Macaca mulatta: one gene and its partner. The protein of the gene in region 1 purifies or fractionates together with the protein of each later gene. This does not show direct contact. Links are inferred from orthologs where the notes say so. Each region holds a gene or a part of one and is shown on either strand. Other genes may lie near its edges. The genes, in order: AKIRIN2 and IPO9.

What was found.
Region 2: the proteins of AKIRIN2 (region 1) and IPO9 purify together in Homo sapiens (affinity purification with mass spectrometry; 3 studies listed by BioGRID and IntAct, counting the BioPlex papers as one, with this or other methods). This does not show direct contact. The link is inferred for Macaca mulatta from reciprocal best matches to the Homo sapiens genes AKIRIN2 and IPO9.

Annotation. Positions count from the first base shown.
Region 1 is NC_133409.1:98,258,021-98,268,168, reverse strand, and holds part of AKIRIN2 (akirin-2), read right to left. Parts: intron 3,544-10,148; coding exon 3,400-3,543; intron 1-3,399. UniProt on the Homo sapiens protein: Molecular adapter that acts as a bridge between a variety of multiprotein complexes, and which is involved in embryonic development, immunity, myogenesis and brain development.
Region 2 is NC_133406.1:59,522,103-59,532,250, reverse strand, and holds the end of IPO9 (importin-9), read right to left. Parts: intron 10,146-10,148; coding exon 9,919-10,145; intron 8,215-9,918; coding exon 8,066-8,214; intron 7,288-8,065; coding exon 7,159-7,287; intron 6,293-7,158; coding exon 6,017-6,292; intron 5,731-6,016; coding exon 5,564-5,730; intron 4,086-5,563; coding exon 3,952-4,085; intron 2,668-3,951; coding exon 2,545-2,667; coding exon of another isoform or gene 2,536-2,544; intron 2,091-2,535; coding exon of another isoform or gene 2,088-2,090; coding exon 1,983-2,087; intron 1,768-1,982; coding exon 1,691-1,767; intron 1,127-1,690; coding exon 1,016-1,126; 3' UTR 109-1,015; downstream 1-108. UniProt on the Homo sapiens protein: Nuclear transport receptor that mediates nuclear import of proteins, such as histones, proteasome and actin. Serves as receptor for nuclear localization signals (NLS) in cargo substrates.

The DNA of each region.
Region 1 (10,148 bases):
TGGGCGTGGTGCTCATGCCTGTAATCCCAACACTTTGGGAGGCCGAGGCAGGCAGATCACCTGAGGTCAGGAGTTTGAAACCAGCCTGGCCAACATGGTGAAACCCTGTCTCTACTACAAATACAAAAAAAATTAGCCAGGCATGATGGCAGGCACCTGTAATCCCAGCTACTCGGGAGGCTGAGGCAGGAGAATTGCTTGAACCCAGGAGGCAGACGTTGCAGTGAGCCGAGATCGTGCCACTGCACTCCAGCCTGGGCAAAAAGAGCAAAACTCCATCTCAAAAAAACAAAAACAAAAAATTAAAAATTAAATTTAAAAAAGACAAAAAACAAACATTACAATGATGGGTCCCATTACAAAACCTCTCATCTCCTTTCTGGAAAATACCATACCATGAAGTATTTTAGTGCCTAAACTTTCCTACACCAGGAATAAAGAACACCTCAGGTCTAAACTTAATTTATTTAGTCCCAGAATAACAAATCATTATGCCAGTAAAAAGACACAATCTTCAAAGCCATACCATTAATATCTTAACAGCCCACACACAATGAACCGGTAAATTATTCTACCATCATTTCACACCTTTAGAAAGGGGTTTTCCTTTATTAAAAAAGAAAATAGGCCGGGCATGGTGGCTCACGCCTGTAATACCAGCACTTTGGGAGGCCGAGGCGGGCGGATCACCTGAGGTCAGAAGTTCAAGACCAGCCTGACCAACGTGTAGAAACTTCGTCTCTACTAAAAATACAAAATTAGCTGGGCATGGTGGCGGATGCCTGTAATCCCAGCTACTCGGGAGGCTGAGGCAGGAGAATCACTTGAACCCAGGAGGCGGAGGTTACGGTGAGCCAAGATCATGCCACTGCACTCCAGCCTAGGCAACAAGAGAGAAACTCCATCTCAAAAAAAAAAAAGAAATTTCATGTTGGCACAATAAAACCTTTGTTTAAAAAAAGAAGGTACAGCATGAACCCTTTTTAAAAAAGATTAAAAAACATTCTGGAATCTAGCTGGGTATGGTGGCTCATACCTGTAATCCCAGCACTTTTTGGGAGGTTGAAGCAGGTGGAACCCTTGAGCTCAAGGCCAGCCTGCACAACATGGCAAACCATGTCTCTAGTAAAAATACAAAGATTGGCTGGGAGTGGTGGCATGTGCCTGTTCCTAGCTACAGGGTAGGCTGAGGTAGAGGCTGCAGTGAGCCAAGATCTCACCACTGCACTCCAGCCTGGGCAACGGAGTGAGACCGTGTCTCAAAAACAAAATGAAACAAAATAAAAAAGACATTCTGGAATCTACTTTGCTGGAGAAGCATAAATGATTCTAAAGGTGTTTGAACACATTGACTACTACCATTCAGTTAACAATAATTCGCATGGAAAAATAAGCTCAAGTACTGAGCTGATAATGCTATGCTCAAAACTCTATAGTATCATAGAACTACACTGTCATCACACTAAGAATCCCAAAGCAGCTGCAACATCAGTGTCTGTCAATATCATTAGTAAATTGGCAAGAATATTCCTTCAGCATTTTTATACCTATTAGTATTTTTTTATAAAAGAGAAAATATTTTGTAGTAATAACATCTATTGTAATACTGCTAAAAGTATTTTATTCACATTCAAGTGCACCACTCATTTGTTATCTATTGTTTCTTCATCTCACTCTGTGAATTTGCCCTGGTACCACCAATATTACTCTCTTAACTTAATGCTGCTTATAACCGGCATGGCAGGAGCTAGTTAACTATGCTTATTAGAACTGCGCATATCACAATAACAAAGCACACCAGCTTTATTCATAATTACCCAAGGCTATCTTAATTTATTTTCACATTCCCAGCTTTGTTACTTAAGAGCCAGTTAACTGATCTTCTAAGTGAGTAAGGAAATAATGATCTTGGTTTCCTGCTAATACAGTCTAGTACCCAACCCTCACCTCTTACTATGTTTCAACCACTAATAACTGGCCCCCCACAATGGGCATGGCAGTATTTAGTTTTGAACAATTTCATGTTTCCTAATCTAATTTTATTTGACTATATTATGGTCTTTGATTTTTTTTTTTTTCTTTTTTTTTTGAGACGGAGTCTTGCTCTGTCGCCCAGGCTGGAGTGCAATGGTGTGATCCCTGCTCACTGCAAGCTCTGCCTCCCAGGTTCATGCCATTCTCCTACCTCAGTAGCCGGGACTACAGGCACCTGCCACCACACCCAGCTAATTTTTTGTCTTTTTAGAGTGATGGAGTTTCACTGTGTTAGCCAGGATGTTCTCGATCTCCTGACTTCACGATCCGCCCGCCTCGGCCTCCCAAAGTGCTGGGATTACAGGCATGAGCCACTGCGCCTGGTCGAAATTTTTTTATTCTGCCAGGTTTTCCCACCCTTGCTAGAGGGAGGAGAGAAAGCATTGAACAAAGGCAACTGTTGTCACAAGAAAAGCTATTTTGCTGAGAACTTTACTAAAGGTAAGAGCCACTATTGATGGCTCTCTTTCAGCAAAACCTTCAACTTTCTCTTTGCTTCAAGTAGCCCTTATTCCTTTTTTTTTTTTTTAAAAAGGAAGGTTATTTGCAAACACTCCCCCCAACAAAAGGTAGGTAAAAACAGATACAGGATCAAAAAAAGTAATAAAATAATCCACCTTTAGAAATCTATCCCAATAAGACAAGTGTGTAAGGGAGGGTACGTATACAGGGATATTTCTTAAAATACTATACCAGCAAAACATCTAAGTTGAATTATCAATAAGCATTCGGTCATGACAAGGTACATCTATACCTAACAAAGGAGCATATAGTATTCTGTTAATTTTTTTTTTTTTTTTTTTTTGAGACAAAGTCTCACTGTGTCGCCCAAGCTGGAGTGCAGTGGCACGATCTCAGCTCACTGCAACCTCCGCCTCCCAGGTTCAAGTGATTCTCATGCCTCAGCCTCCCAAGGGGCTGGGACTACAGGCACATGCCACCATGCCTGGCTAATTTTTCTATTTCCAGTAGAGACAAGGTTTCACCATGTTGGCCAGGCTGGTCTCAACTCCTGACCTCCAGTGACCTGTCTACCTCGCTTGGCCTCCCCAAGTGCTGGGATTACAGGCATGAGCCACCGTGCCTGGCCTATTGTTAATTTTTTTAATAAAGGCTACAAATCATAGTACTTACAGGATGTCCACTTTGGGGATATTATTATACAGGTGGTTGTCCCTGGTTAGTGGGAATCCAGGTGATAATTCCTTATTTTGTACCATATTTTTAAGATGTCATGCATTACTTGTATAAATGTTTTTTTAAAACTCAGAGGAGATATAGTAGCTTAAATGACTAAAGACAACTTGGATTAAACTTTTCCCACTCTAAATAATAAACTTTATAAATGAAAAGAAATGTTATTACCTGGTGAAGCTGGTCCACTGAGGAGAAATGCATGTGGCTGTGCATCAGAAGTACAACACGGATCTGTCTGTTGGAAACTCGTTTCTAAATGTCTTCTCTTCTGCATTCGTTTATACTCTTGTTTTATGTTGTACAGAATTTGTTCTAAAATAAAAAAAGTTAAAATTTGGCAAGATAAAAACTTTCACATTAAAAAAGAGGTTGGCTTTCCAACATTATTTAGTAGACCAATCTACCCAAAATATTCCTTTCAAATAATATCCAGAAAACTGACATTCTGGTAGGAACTCATTTCAGCATAAATGAGGACATTCACTTAGCACATACACACCAACTGGAATTCAGCTGCTCAACAATATTCTTGCTGAGCACTGACTAGCAAAAATAAAGTTTTTCAATCAAAATAATGGTCAAGTAGTCTGTGAACCCAAACACCTATTTTACTCAGATTCTTGAGTTCCAAACTTAAAGCTCATTTATTCATCACATAGAACTATTACACTAACAGGCTTTTCCAACTGCCTTTAATGCCTTTATGCCTTTTCCAAGCCCATAAATAAGAAGGGGCGTGGGGGATTATGTATATTCAAGCACACAACAGTCTGAAGTGACAGTAGGTCAACAAAATGACAAAGCAGATGGGAACTAAAAAAGTCATCATACATTAAATGGCCATGGCCAATTATTTTAAGCTCAATAAAACCTAAGAATACTATAGCATTCTGAATCTTGGGGCTGGAGGGTGGGTGGGGTGAGGGAGAGACCATGTGAAGTGACTGGTACATGACAGGTCCTCAATAAATAAGAACCACCATACCACAGTGCAATTATCTTGAACCACAATCACACGAATGAGTAAAATTATATCTGGCATATCTTTTAGGCCAGTATGATTCATTTCAGAAAGATTTCTAACTCAAAATAATTACCATCTGGCCCCTCCAGAAAATCCCTACCTGGGGGTTTCCACTCCTCACTACACCTCCTCACTACACCTCACTACACCTCCTCACTACACCTCACTACACCTCCATACACCTCCTCACTACACCTCCATACACCTCCTCACTACACCTCACTACACCTCCTCACTACACCTCACTACACCTCCTCACTACACCTCACTACACCTCCATACACCTCCTCACTACACCTCACTACACCTCCATACACCTCCTCACTACACCTCACTACACCTCCTCACTACACCTCACTACACCTCCTCACTACACCTCACTACACCTCACTACACCTCCATACACCACCTCACTACACCTCCATACACCTCCTCACTACACCTCACTACACCTCCTCACTACACCTCCATACTACACCTCACTACACCTCCTCACTACACCTCACTACACCTCCTCACTACACCTCCATACACCTCCTCACTACACCTCCTCACTACACCTCCATAGCTCCCAAGTTAACAGGGTATCAATGTGAAACTACATCCCTAGAAGTTTACTAATCAAAATCCAAAGCAAGATTAAATAAAAATGAAATATTTAGGTGGCAATTAACTGGCAATAAAAAGACTGACGGAGTGGAGTGTAGCCTTAAAATTCAATTTTACAATGATGCATTAATTTAAGAACTGTTAGATATTGGTGAAGTGGGGTGGCTTAACACCTGTAACCATGGCACTTTGGGAGGTCGAGGTGGGAGGGTCACTAGAGGCCAGGAGGTCAAGACCAGCCTGGGCAACACAGAGGGACCCTGTCTCTATGACACACAAAAAAGAAAGCTAAAGATTTACATACAATAATTCTTTTTAAAATGTAACACTGGTGGTTTTCGTAGATAACCACCATATCTACAAAATCTTGTCACTTACCTCTTTTCTCACTTTATTTCCCTAGGAGAACTTTTAGAATTTTTGAGAGACTCTGGGAGGACAAATAAGTTCCCTTAAACATTTTAAATACTGCTTGTTTCATTATTTAAACTGAAAAAATGTTGCAAGACATATCCAGTTAAAGATACCATTTACATAAATTTCGTTGTATAAAAAGACCTGTTTATATATACATGAATGTGTGGTTTAAGTACAAAATCACACATCCACGTGTACTTAAACAGGTCTATAATGATTAATTTCAGGATGGTTATGTTGGAGTGCTTTAGCTGTATTTTTCATTTGTTAACATTTGTTTAATACGAGTTATGGTCATTTTCAGTCCTTTTCCATTTATTTGAACTACTTTGTAATTTGAAAACAAAGTTATTCCAATTGAGTGACAGTGGTTAAATTATTAAATTATCAGTGTTGGCATGAAAGAGTTGTCTTCTGAATGGTAAGCATACCTTGATATAAATAGGTTTCCTAATATTCACCAGAGGTACCCAATAAAACTAATGTAACATCTGGTTTCAACCACGACAAACACAAATACCCTCATTTTTTAAATAACAGACCTCTTTTCAGTAACAGCAATCTAAAGCGTTTTTTTCTTTTCGAGACGGAGTCTCGCTCAGTCATCCGGGCTGGAGTGCAGTAGCGCGATCTCGGCTCACTGCAACCTCTGCCTCCCAGGTTCAAGCAATTCGCCTGCATCAGCCTCCTGAGTAGCTGGGACTATAAGCGTGAGCCACCACGCCCAGCTAATTTTTATATTTTTGGTAGAGACAGGGTTTCACCATATTGGTCAGGCCTGTCTCGAACTCCTGACCTCAGGTGATCCAACCTTCTCGGTCTCCCAAAGTGCTAGGATTATAGGTGTGAGCCACTGCACCCAGCATTTATATTTTGCTCTCTGACAGAAAGTAAGCTTCACTCACATTCATCACTTTCTGTCCAAAGCTACCATTATCCTGATCAAAAGTGCTATTCAAAACATCATAAAATTTATTTATAACCAGAGATTTTAGGAGGTACTAGTTTGGAGTAACCTGACCTTAATATTTATCTTTTGTGTGACTTACATACGTTCTTTCATCACCACATAGCTGTTCTCAGATTTAGTGTTCCTTCTGCTTCACAAGTCAACCAAAGCACAACTAAAATGTACCAAAAGAATGCTTGTATAACAACCACCTCAATTTGTTCATTTGATAATCTCAAATGAAAGCTAACCCAGAATTAAGAAACAGTAAAACTTTTAAAAATTTATCTTTGTAAAACTCTATACCATCAGACACTTAGAGACATCACTAACATTTTAAGGTGTAATTTACAAATGACAAAATTAACCAATTTAAATGTACAATTCATTTGAGTTCTGACAAGTACAAACATACAGTTTTGGAACTAACATTAACTATGATAAATAACTTTTTATCACTCCAAAAACTTCTCTTGGGCTCCTCTGCAGTTAATTCACTACCACCATCACCACTTCCCCAGTACAGTCCACCAACACTCATCTGCTATTACTATATAGTTTTGCCTTCTCTAGAATTTCACATAAATGGAATCATAAAGAGTACAGACTTTTATGTCTGAACTACTTTCACTCAGCACAATGCTTTTGAGATTCATATATTTTGCATGAATCAGAAATTCCTTTTCGTTGGTGAGAATTCCATTGTATGTATGTATACATACACACACATATCTATCCTTTCTCCTGTTAATGGACATTAAGACTGTTTCCAATTTAGAACTATTACGAATATTCAAGTACCAGTCTTTGGCGGACATGTTTTCATTTCTCTTGGATAAATCCCTAGGAGTGGGAATAGGCTGCCTAATCATATGGCAAATGAACGGTTTATTTTGTTCTTACAAAATAAAATCGCGAAACCATTTTCCAGAGTGATTTTGTCATTTTGCATTCCTACCATAAAAGTATTACAGCTCCAGCTGTTCCACATCCTTGCCAACACTTGATATTGTCAGCTAAAGAGCTGAAGAATTTTTAAAGCTATTGACTGCATGCTTTTTACATCAAATATGATGCAACTATGTCATCTAAGCCACACTGGTGCCCTCAAATGCTCTAATACTGGTAACATGTGATCAACAATGTTATGCAGTAAAGGGTCCAATTTAACTTGGCCAAGATCTCAACCGCACAAGTAGCAAACAGCTAACTGCAATGGCAAGCCTCAAGCTCAATTTATTTCAGTCCAGGGATATAAACAGTCTTGAAGCTGATAAACTCAAGAAACTTCCTCGGATTCAATATTCTACAACCACCACATTGCTAAGCTCAATCTAGATACTTGGGTGACCTGAGTTGCTTTCATACCAGGTAGATAAAGGCCTTCTACATATCAGTAAAGTACTTGTCTACTTAGTCTTAAGCTACTTAGATCTGGCCATCTCTTACCAAACCAGCAAGTTAACATTTTATCCAAGGTACATGTAATATCTGACATTGTCTTGCCAATACAATTTAAAGTTCATTAAAGAAAAAAGAAGTCCGAGCTTCACTTGTATTATCAGTTGCATATTCCAGTTTTAATCATATGCCTTCCTATTTGGCTTATGAGGCATAGACTGAATTTGCAGCAACCATTTAGAGCAAAATATGTAGAGTTATCTTCAAGACAAGCTACAGCACACAAATGGCTGTATATTCTTTTACTAAATCCTAAAAACTACCTCTTTTACCATAAAATACTGCTAAGTGGAAGTCATTAGCAAGTTCTACGACTCACAGCATTTTCATTCGCAAAACCAGTACATGTCGGCCGGGCGCAAAACCAGTACATGTCGGCCGGGCGCAGTGGCTCACGCCTGTAATCCCAGCACTTTGGGTGGCCGAGGCGGGCGGATCACGAGGTCAGGAAATCGAGACCACAGTGAAACCCCGTCTCTACTTAAAAAAAAAAAAAAAATAGGCCAGGCGCGGTGGCTCACGCCTGTAATCCCAGCACTTTGGGAGGCCGAGACGGGTGGATCACGAAGTCAGGAGATCGAGACCATCCTGGCGAACACAGTGAAACCCCGTCTCTACTAAAAAAAAAAAAAAAAAAAAAAACTACAAAAAAAAAAAAAAAACTAGCCGGGCGAGGTGGCGGGCGCCTGTGGTCCCAGCTACTCGGGAGGCTGAGGCAGGAGAATGACGTAAACCCGGGAGGCGGAGCTTGCAGTGAGCTAAGATCCGGCCACTGCACTCCAGCCTGGGCGACAGAGCGAGACTCCGTCTCAAAAAAAAAAAAAAAAAAAAAATACAAAAAATTAGCCGGGCGCGGTGGTGGCGCCTGTAGTCCCAGCTACTCGGGAGGCTGAGGCAGGAGAATGGCGGGAACCCGGGAGGCGGAGCTTGCAGTGAGCCGAGATCGCGCCACTGCACTCCAGCCTGGGCGACAGAGCGAGACTCCGTCTCAAAAAAAAAAACAACTAGTACATGTCACTAAAATTGCTAATTAGGTGGTATCAACAAGTCAGCACTTATTTCTTTGGAATATTTTTAAAAACAAATTAGGAGGCCGAAAGCAGTGGCTCACACCTTTAATCCCAGCACTTTGGGAGGCCGAGGCAGGAGGATCACTTCAGGTCAGGAGTTTGAGACTAGCCTGGCCAACACAGTGAAACCCCATCTCTACTAAAAATACAAAAATTAGCTGGGCGTAGTAGCGGATGCCTGTAATTCCAGCTATTTGGGAGGCAGAGGTAGGTGAATTGCTTGAACCCAGGAGGCAGAGGTTGCAGTGAGCTGAGATCATGCCATTGCACTGCAGCCTGGGCAACAAGAAAGAAAACTCTGTCTCAAAAAAAATAAATAAGTAAATATCGTAAACGTGGAAATAAAAGGCCTCTTTCTAGTTGCCACTGATTACTTAGGAAATGCTGGGCACCATGAATAAGGTCAACAATATAAACAGGAGAAAGTAGTTATGGGATAAAAAGCATAATGGAATTGATGGGGGCAGGACAAACAGCATCAAGGTAAGACTGAGCAAAGAACATGGAATTAGAAGCAACTAAAAATAACTTTAAGGAGAACCACAAAAGAAGGGTGGGCTGTCAAAGTATCTTTCTAGGGTCCATACATTTAAGTTCTAAAAATCTGACATGTGAAACTAGAAACTTTTGCTCCACACCCATAAAGCTTTACTGTTTTCCTCCAGACATCATTACTAGATCAAACATTAAGGTTTCGCTAGCAGTTTTAAGTTTAGGTGTATGGGGTCCCTCTGGATCATTTTATAGATCAATACCATTTATTTCTCCATGGAATCTTTGGAAAACAAAATGAAAGTGGACCTAGAAAGACAATGCAAACAATGGGATTAAAAAAGAAATCTTGGGGCTGGGCGCAGTAGTTAATGCCTGTAATCCCAGCACTTTGGAAGGCCAAGGCAGGCAGATCACCTGAGGTCAGGAGTTCGAGATCAGCCTGGCTAACATGATGAAACCCTGTCTCTATTAAAAGTACAAACATTAGGCCGGGCGCGGTGGCTCAAGCCTGTAATCCCAGCACTTTGGGAGGCCGAGACGGGCGGATCACGAGGTCAGGAGATGGAGACCATCCTGGCTAACACGGTGAAACCCCGTCTCTACTAAGAAATACAAAAAATAGCCAGGCGACGTGGCAGCGCCTGTAGTCCCAGCTACTCGGGAGGCTGAGGCCGGAGAATGGCGTGAACCCCGGAGGCGGAGCTTGCAGTGAGCTGAGATCCGGCCACTGCACTCCAGCCTGGGCTACAGAGCGAGACTCCGTCTCAAAAAAAAAAAAAGTACAAACATTAGCCGGGCATGGTGGTGGGCGCCTGTAATCCCAACTACTTGGGAGGCTGAAGCAGGAGAATTGCTTGAACACGAGAGGCGGAGGTTGCAGGGAAACAAGATC
Region 2 (10,148 bases), on another chromosome or scaffold:
AATGTTTAGATAGGCTCCACCTAATCCTTTCCCCCACTACTTTTACTTACCTTCTAAAGGGAATAGAAGGCAAACAGGTGCTGAGACACCTTATATCATGCAACTAAATTCATTTGTAAAGATTACTTTACTGTCCTAGAAAAATACATGTTGCAAATTTGAGGGCTACAACTTAACCACTTTAGAGGCTTCCTGAGGGAGAGGGGATAACCTCTGAATATCAGACTCTGTGGTAATGTGTGGGAGAGGCATATTAAATATAGTTGGGTCAGGTGCATTTAAAAAAAATTCCCTTTTTTCCCTTTTTTTTTTTTTTCCTAAAAAAGGAAGATCAAATTGCCATCTGTCTGGCTTATTTTGTGTGTGCATGTATATATAGGAACAGCTTGAGGGGAAGGGTTATGTCATGCAATGAGGCAAAAACAAGACGACCTCCTCTGACAGAGGAGCCTTAGTGTTGTAGAAGGGAAGCAAGGCTGAGGTCACTGGAAAGGCTTAGAATGAAGCTGCTCCTGCCTGTTCCTCCTGAGAACCCAGAGCAGCAGTGGTCCAGGGCACAAAGCATAATGATCTCTCACGAGGATTCCTATCTGAAAAAATCAAGTCCTATGAACACAGATAGGTCTGTTTCAGAATATAAATGGTAGTGACTTCCTGTGCTCCTGAGGCGGGGCAAAATAATCCATAAACACATAATCCTTCTGGGCAATAATGTTTCTGGACTGGCCAGCAGAGGGCTCTAGGAACAGAGGTGGGGGTAGAGTCAGGGAGAAAAAAGGTTCTAGAGATGGGATGTCTTCAGGGGAACTTTGAGAAATGTCCTTTGTTCCAGCATTCCTAAGTGACGGCACTGGTGAGCCTGGTCTGAGTTGTCATCAGTGTCACTGACGAGGCCAAGGGCCAAGGGTCAAGATGCCACTTTAGGTTGAGAAGAAAGTGCATCTCAAGGCCAGTGAGGGCTGCAAAATGGTTTGCGGCTGGGCCAGAAGGAGCAAATGGAGAAAGGCTCCCCTTTTTAGATGCCGATGGTCTGTAGAACTCGCCTCTCGTTATCATTAAGGTGGCCTGAAAACATTATGTAGCAGGGCTGCTGAGCAAACTGGCAGAGGAAATCTGTGAGATACGCCTGGAGGAAAAGAGCAAGAGTGGCATTAGTGAGATGTTGCAAGTCACCCATTTGCAGTGAAGCAAGAACCACAATCAAATGGCACAGGGAATGCTGGTTTTTAGACAAATGCCAGCTCCCTGAGGGATGGTCTTTCATGTTCTTGGATCTAGTTTAGATAATCCACAGGGAAACAACATTTTTCCAAGGCTCTATCACCCCAAGGACCTTCACGACATAGACTCTAGAAGATGAATTACAACACATCAAGTGCAAAGTTCCAGCCCATCCAAAACACTGGACCACTCAACAAGACAAGAACTCTTTCCCGTGAGGCTCCCATGTTAAATTATAAATTGATTTTTTTTTTTTTGGGAAAAAAAAATTTTTTTTTTTTTTTTGAGGTAAAAATGCCCAGACGGTCTTGAACTCCTGGGCTTAAGCAATCCTCCTGCCTTGACCTCCCAAAGTATTGGGATTACAGGCATGAGCCACCATGCCTGGCCATAAATGGATTTGAGCCCATATTCCTGTTTCCATGGCCTGGGACATTGCCATTTGCAAGACATCTCTGGACACCCTCACCTGCAGATCAATCTGATAGAGAGGATCCTTCAGGGCATCAGGGTCATCTTCCTCATCATCCTCGTAGTAATCCTCCTCTGTTAGACACAGCCAACATAGGGCGGATCAGGACAAAGGCCCATGATCAGGCCCTGAATGGTGATATACTACCACATGACGGAGGCGGAAGGTGCAAAAGCCCAAGGAATGTCCCTGTGGGCCCACCTCTCCCCTTTCTTGGGTACCCCATTCTTGGGATCAGTGTGGAAAGAAAAGGTATTTACCATGGCTGTCCTCTTATCAAACAGCTTACCATATTTACTTGTAGCAAGAATGTCAGATAAAAGTTGGCCAGCTAAACCATCCTCCTCCTCCTCCTCTTCCTCCTCCTGGTCCTCCCACATATCATTGGAGTCATCTACTTGGAGATGAAAAGTAGCTAGAGCTAGGGCACATTCATGCATTTCCCCTCCCCAAATCCAAACAGACCAGAAGGGCCCCAAAGGCTTCTGCAATGTGGCTTGTAGTACCCAGTGAAAGAGAACCAGAAATGGCCAAACCCTTCTGGTAAATCTGAAAGAAAGAACCTGGAGATATAAAGGTTGAGAGGCTCTTAAGAAGAATCAAACCAAAGAAGGGCTATGTTAGCTTGCCTCCTGGCTGCCTCCCACCCCAGCCTTCATATGGCAGACTGGAGAAGCAGCTCTTTACATGCCTAGTGCCTAGCACGGTGCCAGCCACAGAGCAGCCATTCCATTAACCATTAACTTGTTTTTTTTTTCAATTAGTGACTCAACAAACCAAGTTGCTAATTTGACAATTTGTAACTTGATCTGCCAGGCTAAAAGTCTCCTTGGAGTAAGGGCCTGGTGCACCTTGACTCCACTCTGCAGGAGTGGCCTGGCGAGCGGCATTAGCCTCCATGACGTTGGAGAGCTCGTTGATGATCAGCTTTAGGATCTTGACCAGCAAAGGAATGTTTGTCCAGCGTTCTGGGTCTGGGAAGGAAGAAAAAGGCTTCAAGTCAGAGTGTCACTGGGCTTACTTCTGGAAGTAGCCCTGTCCCCTCCTCAGTGCTGCTCACCAGAGTTCACCACCCCTCAGACTTTCACTGTCCCTGACTATATCTAGTCTCCAAAGAGTGATTTAAAGTTTAATAACTTTATTCTGTTTGGTATTGTAACAGTTCAGAAGGTGGGAGAGATGAGAGTTCAGGGATTAAAGGAGATAGAGTCTTGTTAGTAATAAAGCTCTGAAACCAAGGAACTGTATAGAGCCAGTACTCTAGTCCCAGTGACTTACAAATTGAGAGACAGCGGAGGTAATTATAAATCTACATTAAAGATAGCAGCTCTATACTCCCTACCTGCAAATCCTTGGTGTTACAGGCCAAAGTCAACTCAGTAACAAAGACACACTAACCATCTGTGCCCAAGCCTCAGAATGAAGCTGGAAACTGGGATGCTTGGTACCTGAGACTATTTTTGTCCTTTTTTTTCCCTCCAGACAGAGTTTCGCTCTTGCTGCCCAGGCTGGAGTGCAATGGCGTGATCTTGGCTCACTGCAACCTTCGCCTACCGGGTTCAAGCTATTCTCCTGCCTCAGCCTCCCAAGTAGCTGGGATTACAGGCATGCGCCACCATGCCTGGCTAACTTTGTATTTTTAGTAGAGGTGGGGTTTCTCTATGTTGGTCAGGCTGGTCTCGAACTCCTGGCCTCAGGTGATCTGGCAGCCTCGGCCTCCCAAAGTGCTGGGATTACAGTTGTGAGCCATCACACTCACTTTTTTTTTTTTTTGAGATGGAGTCTTGTTTTGTTGTCTAGGCTGGAGTGCAGTGGCACGATCTTGGCTCACCACAACCTCTGCCTCCCAGGTTCAAGCGATTCTCCTGCCTCAGCCTCCCAAGTAGCTGGGATTACAGGCGCCCACCACCACATCTGGCTAATTTTTGTACTTTTAGTAGAGACAGGATTTCACTATGTTGGTCAGGCTGGTCTCAAACTCCTGACTTCAAGTGATCCATCCGCCCTGGCCTCCCACCAACTGCTGGAATTACAGGCGTGAGCCACCACGCCCAGCTTATTTTTGTCCATTTTTGACAACAGGAAGAAACCATATGTTCTGATCCCTTTTATCTAAGTTTCCTGTTGCTTCTTTATCAAACCCATCACCAACAATTATGTTTTGAAAATATACACCACAATGCATTCCTTCCCTCCACCCAGGTATCCTTAGCCCCTTATTATAAGGAGAGGATTGGAGGAATTGCAGCATCACCCACTTTTGGCTGACTTAGAGCGGGTGCGGATGCCCTCATCCATGCTGTAGATCTCCTCTCCCTTCACACGGATATCCTGTAGCCGTTTGTCATCTGCATTGATGCCATGCTGGAGCAGCTTACAGAGTGCCACAGAGCTGGCAAGGAAGATCCAAAAAAAAGTCAATCAGTTACCTATCTAGAGTTCATGCCAAGGAGATAAGCAATCATGTCCTAAGGCCCTCTATTTGACAGTGAAAATTCTGTTAACAACTAATTAGGAGAGCTAAGAGAGTTCAGCTGAAAATGAGATTTTAGAGTTCATGAGATGGTCTAATGAGATCTATTCTTCTTCTTCTTATTTTTTTTTTTTGTGATAGGGTCTCATTCTGTCACCCAGGCTGAGTGCAGTGGCGTGATCATGGTTCACTGCAAAGCCTTGACCTCCCTGGGTTCAGGTGATCCTCCCACCTCAGCCTCCTGAGTAGCTGGGACTCCTGAGTGGGTAGGCACGTGCCACCATGCCTGGCTAATATTTTTGGTAGAGATAGGTTTCACCACGTTGCCCAGGTGGGTCTCAAGCAATTTGCCCACCTCAGTCTTCCAAAGTGCTGGGATTACAGGTAACCTGTTCTTCTTGAACAAAGCTAGGGTGGGCAAGCATCACGATGGCTATCCATATTGTAACGTGCAACGAAGTGATAAGAATCAGTGGTATAAAAGTCCAGGATAGAAAGTTAAGAAGCCAGGGTTAGAGGCTTGGGTTTTTTATTTTGAGACAGTTTTGCTCTTGTGGTCCAGGCTGGAGTGCATCTGCCTGTCGCCCAGGCGTGATCTGCCTCCTGGGTTCAAGCGATTCTCCTGCCTTAGCCTCCCGAGTAGCTGGGATTATAGGCACCCACAACCACATCTAGCTATTTTTTGTATTTGTAGTAGAGAGAGGGTTTCACCATGTTGGCCAGGCTGGTCTTGAACTCCTGACCTCCAGTGATCTGCTTGCCTCAGCCTCCAAAAGTGCTGGGATTATAGGTGTGAGCCAGTGCGCCTGGCCAAGGCTTGGGTTTCTAAAGGAAAATAAGCCACTAGCAGCACTTAGCTGTGTGAAGTCTGCGGTAGAAAAGGGATCTCTAGCAAGCAGAGATCAGAAATATATAGTCTACCTGTGTTGACTGTCTTTTGGGGATTTCAAGATGGCAGCTATTCACATATGTGCCTTAGCAATAAAGAAAGACAAGGAAAAGGGAATACAAAGAGCCATCTGAAATGTCAAACAAAAATCAATGGAGCAAATCAGGGAAAAAAAGAAATATAGGTCAGGAGCAGAGGCTCAACACCTGTAATCCCAGCATTTTGGGAGGCCGAGGTGGGTGGATCACTTGAGGTCAGGAGTTCAAGACCAGCCTGGCCAACATGGTGAAACCCTGTCTCTACTAAAAATACACACACACACACACACACACACACAAAAGAATTAGCTGGGTGTGGTGGAAGTTGCAGTGAGCCAAGATTGTGCCACTGCACTCCAGTCTGGGGGACAGAGTGAGACTCTGTTTCAAAAAATAAAAAAACACAAAAGAAAGAAATATAAGTGGTGAAGTGGTGGCAGAATGCCCAGAAAAGAAAGATGGGATTCTACCTGACTTTGCCTTCATACTGTCCATAGAACAGGTGCTGTCGGCTTGTCCACTCAGCCATCACAAACTCTAGAGCAGGTTTGCCAGTAGGTCCTGGGAGGCTACACAGGAACTCCAAAAGAGGTTCTAGCTGAGTGTGCACCAGATGAGCAAACACCATGATCAGGGACTAGGAGAAAATAAGGACATTTGCTTCAGGGAAATCAATTTCAGAGACATAAAAGATGAGAGGGAACTGGCCAGTCAGATAAGAGACAGAGTCTACACTGAGGGTATTATTCACAGGACAAGAAAACATGGAGATTTCCTTGTCCATGTTTCTTAGGCCAGACAGATCCCATTTTACTTAACTGTCCTACAAGGGTAGTAACAGGGTAAAATAACTCAGGACCAAAATACTAATTTTCACTTCTATCAGCCAGGAGTAGGAAGCCCACTCCCTACTGTTCTCTTACCTGCATGACACTGAGCGTCTCTGCCTGCTGCATCTTACTGAGGATGGCACGAAGAATCTGGTCTAGATTCTCCCCCAGCTCCCGCCCTGCCTTGGAGATGAGGGTGGAAACAAGGCGGCCCACAAAGGCCGCAGTGAACTCTGAGGTGCGGGGGTCCAGGAGCTGGCTCACCACTTGCATCACATACCACAGTCCATTGTGGCCCTGCTCATCATGCCACTGGGCTACTTGTTCCAGGGTCACTGACACATAGGCCCGCAAGCACTCTCCGCCATTCTGGGGAGACAGGGGTGGCAAGCAAGATTAGTAACCGAGAGACAGATGCCAGGAGGCCCTCAGTCTGTATAAACAAATGTTCTCAGAGGCCTATGCCTCATAAAAGCGGTGAGTCTATAGTATTTGTGGTGGGCTCATATCACTGGAATCAGGAATTTACTGTTATAGACACAGACATGCATTACATAATTCCCCCTTTACCTAATGAGCTATCTCAAAAATATGTATTATTATTATTTTTTAATCACAAGGGACAATGGCCAAGCAAAATGAATTTTAATCATAAAGGTCTACCTCTGGTACTAAAAAAATATGCTTACAATCTTGCAATAATTGGGGATACTATAGGACCTCATATAGGTCTTACACAAACCACTAGTTGCCTAGGGATTTCTAAGCTGATCAATATTCACTGGCAAGTTCCTATAACCTTTATAATCAATGACGGTAGTACACACCTGAAAAGGTAACCAATTCACCCAGGAAACAAAAAGAGAAAAAATATTTAGGCATCTCTCCCCTCTCTAGAGGCCCATCACTCTGCTGATTTTATTAATAGAGGAAATATGCAGAAAGACTTTCTTATGGCCCCAAGTCTAGATGTCTGTAATCTCTTTCATAGTAGCAATACCCAATACAGATGGGCAGGGTGCTTGGTATCTGTATTTTTAAAAACTGTAACATGCTCCAAAGCACCAGAAACGCTTGGCTTTTGCAGCCTGAACCCTTCCTGAATCTGCTAAGTAAATATGGAGTTGAGGAATTCCGTATTTCAAAAGCATAAAACCATGTCAGATTTCTCAGCGTAGTAAAGGCCCATGACTGGGGAGCTATCTTCCCCCTTCTAGTCTCCATGTCTCAGATACCTGCATGGTGGCATTGTCATCTGTGTGAAGGGTACACTGTGCCACAGCAGGGAAAGCTTGGCAGATGAGAAGCTGGGAAAGGGGAGGCTTTGTATTTCGTACTACTGTTGTCAGGATATCAATGGCTGTCTGAAAGAGAGAAGAAAAAAGAGTCAGAATTGCCTCTGGGGTTGGGGGTGCCCAACAACTAAGATCCTTACTGGATGGGTATCACATAGCAACCCAGAGAAAGCTTATTAATGAAAGGCAAGTTTCCAAAATAAAAGGAATAATTAAATGGGTAGTGCTCTCAGCCTCCTCCTAATAGTTTACTAATTGATTAGTCCTAGGGGTGGGCACTAGTACATGGTAGTGGATTGGATAACCAGGTGACATACTTAGTGGCGCTGTGTAATGGTGGCACTCTGTTCAATTCACTGAGGGTACCTCTGAAACAAGAAGAGCCATTTTCTTTCTTTTATTCTTTTTTGAGGCAGAGTCTCACTCTGTCACCCAGGCTGGAGTGCAGTGGTGCGATCTCCGCTCACTGCAACCTCTGCCTCTTGGGTTCAAGGGATTCTCCTGCCTCAGTCTCCCAAGTAGCTGGGACTGCAGGTGCCTGCCACCATGCCTGGCTAATTTTTGTATTTTTAGGAGAGACAGGGTTTCACCATACTGGCCAGGCTGGTCTCAAACTCCTGACCTTGTGATCTACCTGCCTTGGCCTCCCAAAGTGCTGGGATTATAGGCGTGAGCCACCGCGCCAAGCCAAGTCATTTTCTTAAAGCTTCAGAGAATCACCCACTGTCATTGTGGGCAAAAGAGCTCAGCAAAATCACCCCATGAATCTCTAATGCTATTAAGTTCTTGTCAGCTACATGCATCTGTGGGTGGCGCTTGTATATCTCACACACACACAGCCACTTACCGCACAGAGCCCTGCAGGGATCTTGTCTGCTGGGGCCTGCATTATGCTGACCAGAGTGGGAATCAACCTCATTTGCATTGGGCCCTGACAGGCTTCAATCTGGGACAGCTCCTTGAAGATGTCCTGAGCCAGTGAGGCGACGACGGGATCTGAAGTGGATAAGGCAACACGGAATCCCCCTGCCTGATGGTCTGCATCTGCTTCTCGCTTAATGATGCCTGTTGTTTGCCCTAACCTAACAACTTCTGCATTGATTACTTATCACACATCCGGGACCTAGTGGGGCCACATGAATAACCTGAAAGAACAGGAGTGATCCTAAATCTCCAAGAGGTACACTTTGTATGGCTTCATTAAAGTAGGGACTAGTCTTCAACAGCTACTCCTAAAACAAAATGTAGTTTTTCTAAAGAAAAATCTTTAAAGTCTTTATTCTTGTGAAACCTAGATTATAAAACCATATGCTTAAAAGAAAAAAAAAAGCCCAACTGATACTTTAAGAAGAAAGTTGCAAAAATTGCCAAAACACTGACTTTGATGCATGAGAGAAATCATACATATCTCCTATGAGGTAGCCATAGTGGCCATGAACAATTCTCAAAGCTACTTCTGGGGCAAAAGGCAAAACTCCTAAAAAGCAGAGCCTTATGAAGAAAGGGAACTTTAGCTCAATCTTCTTTATCTATATAACAAAACATCCTCCTCTATTTAGTATGGAAAAATATAGGCAATGTATGTTAAAGTATATCTTAAAAGATCACTGCAGCATTGTTTGTAATAGAAAAAAATTGGGAATACCCTAGATGTCCATTAGCAGAATGGGTAAATTATGATATACCCATTTTATGGAATACTATGTAATGGCTGAAAGAATGAGATATATCCAAGAACACAATGTGGAAAGCTCCTCAGTACACATTTTTCAGTGAAAAAGCATATCTAATAACATGTTCAGTATATCACATTATATAAACAATCCTTATCCTGTACATCTTTCTGAGCTTCAATATTGGAGCTCTCCCTTTAAAAAAAAAAAAATCCTTAATATTTTACTAGTAATAAGGTATTAATAAATACATTCACTATAGGAAAAAAAAAAACTTAAACTGCAGAAAATAAAGAAAACACCTGTAATTCCACCACCTAGAGATAAACACTCTTAAAATTTTGATGTATTTTTTTCTTTTCTTTTTTTTTTTTTTTTTTTTAACATACTTAACTATACATATATCCTTTCCTAAAAGAAAAATCAAAACTTGGGATCATATTCTATGGATTTTTGGGGAAAAGTATCTTTTCATTTATTACAATGTAAGCTCTTTCCCATGGTTTTAAATATTCCTTTTTAGCTTGATTTTTAATGGCTGAACAGTATTTCATTTTATGGATATAATTAACTAATGTCTTTTTATAATTTCCAAATTTTTACTACTGTAAAAAATATCTAGTGAATACCTTTGTTCATAAACTTTTACATGTATCTTTCTTTAGTATCTCCTTTTCTAACTTATAGTCCTAGCCCTTTTCTTTTAGGAGGCTTTTCATTTGCCAAATTTCCTATTCTATCATCAAAGTTCTGAATTATGTCTCTTGCTTATAAGCCCTTTATTTATTATCTTTTTCCCTAAGTCCTTACTAGAGAGTGTTACAGAAATAGGTACTCTATTTTTTAATGCTGCTACATTTACAGCACAATTCTATTTTTTGCTAATCCAAAGCCAGATTCTTTGCTTATGATGTTAAAACCATAGCATCATAGGTAAGACCAAACCTAGGGAATCTTTCATTTAAATTCCCCAGCCACCACCTTTTCTTTGGTGCCCCTCATAACACAGTTCTCCCTGGTGGCATACCATTACTGTACTTTAGAAAAATGGCGATGGTGAAGGGGCAGATTTTGCTTTCCATGCTTGCTGTGAATTCGGGGTCTACTGTACAAACGATGCACAGGGTCTCCATCACCAGGTTGAGGACCTCTGAGCTGAACTGGGCTGCTAGGTGAATTAAGCCATCCAGGATACTGGGGAGGAAGGGCTGGAGCACATGGGTACTCTCTGATACTTTCAGTTGGTCACAATAACTA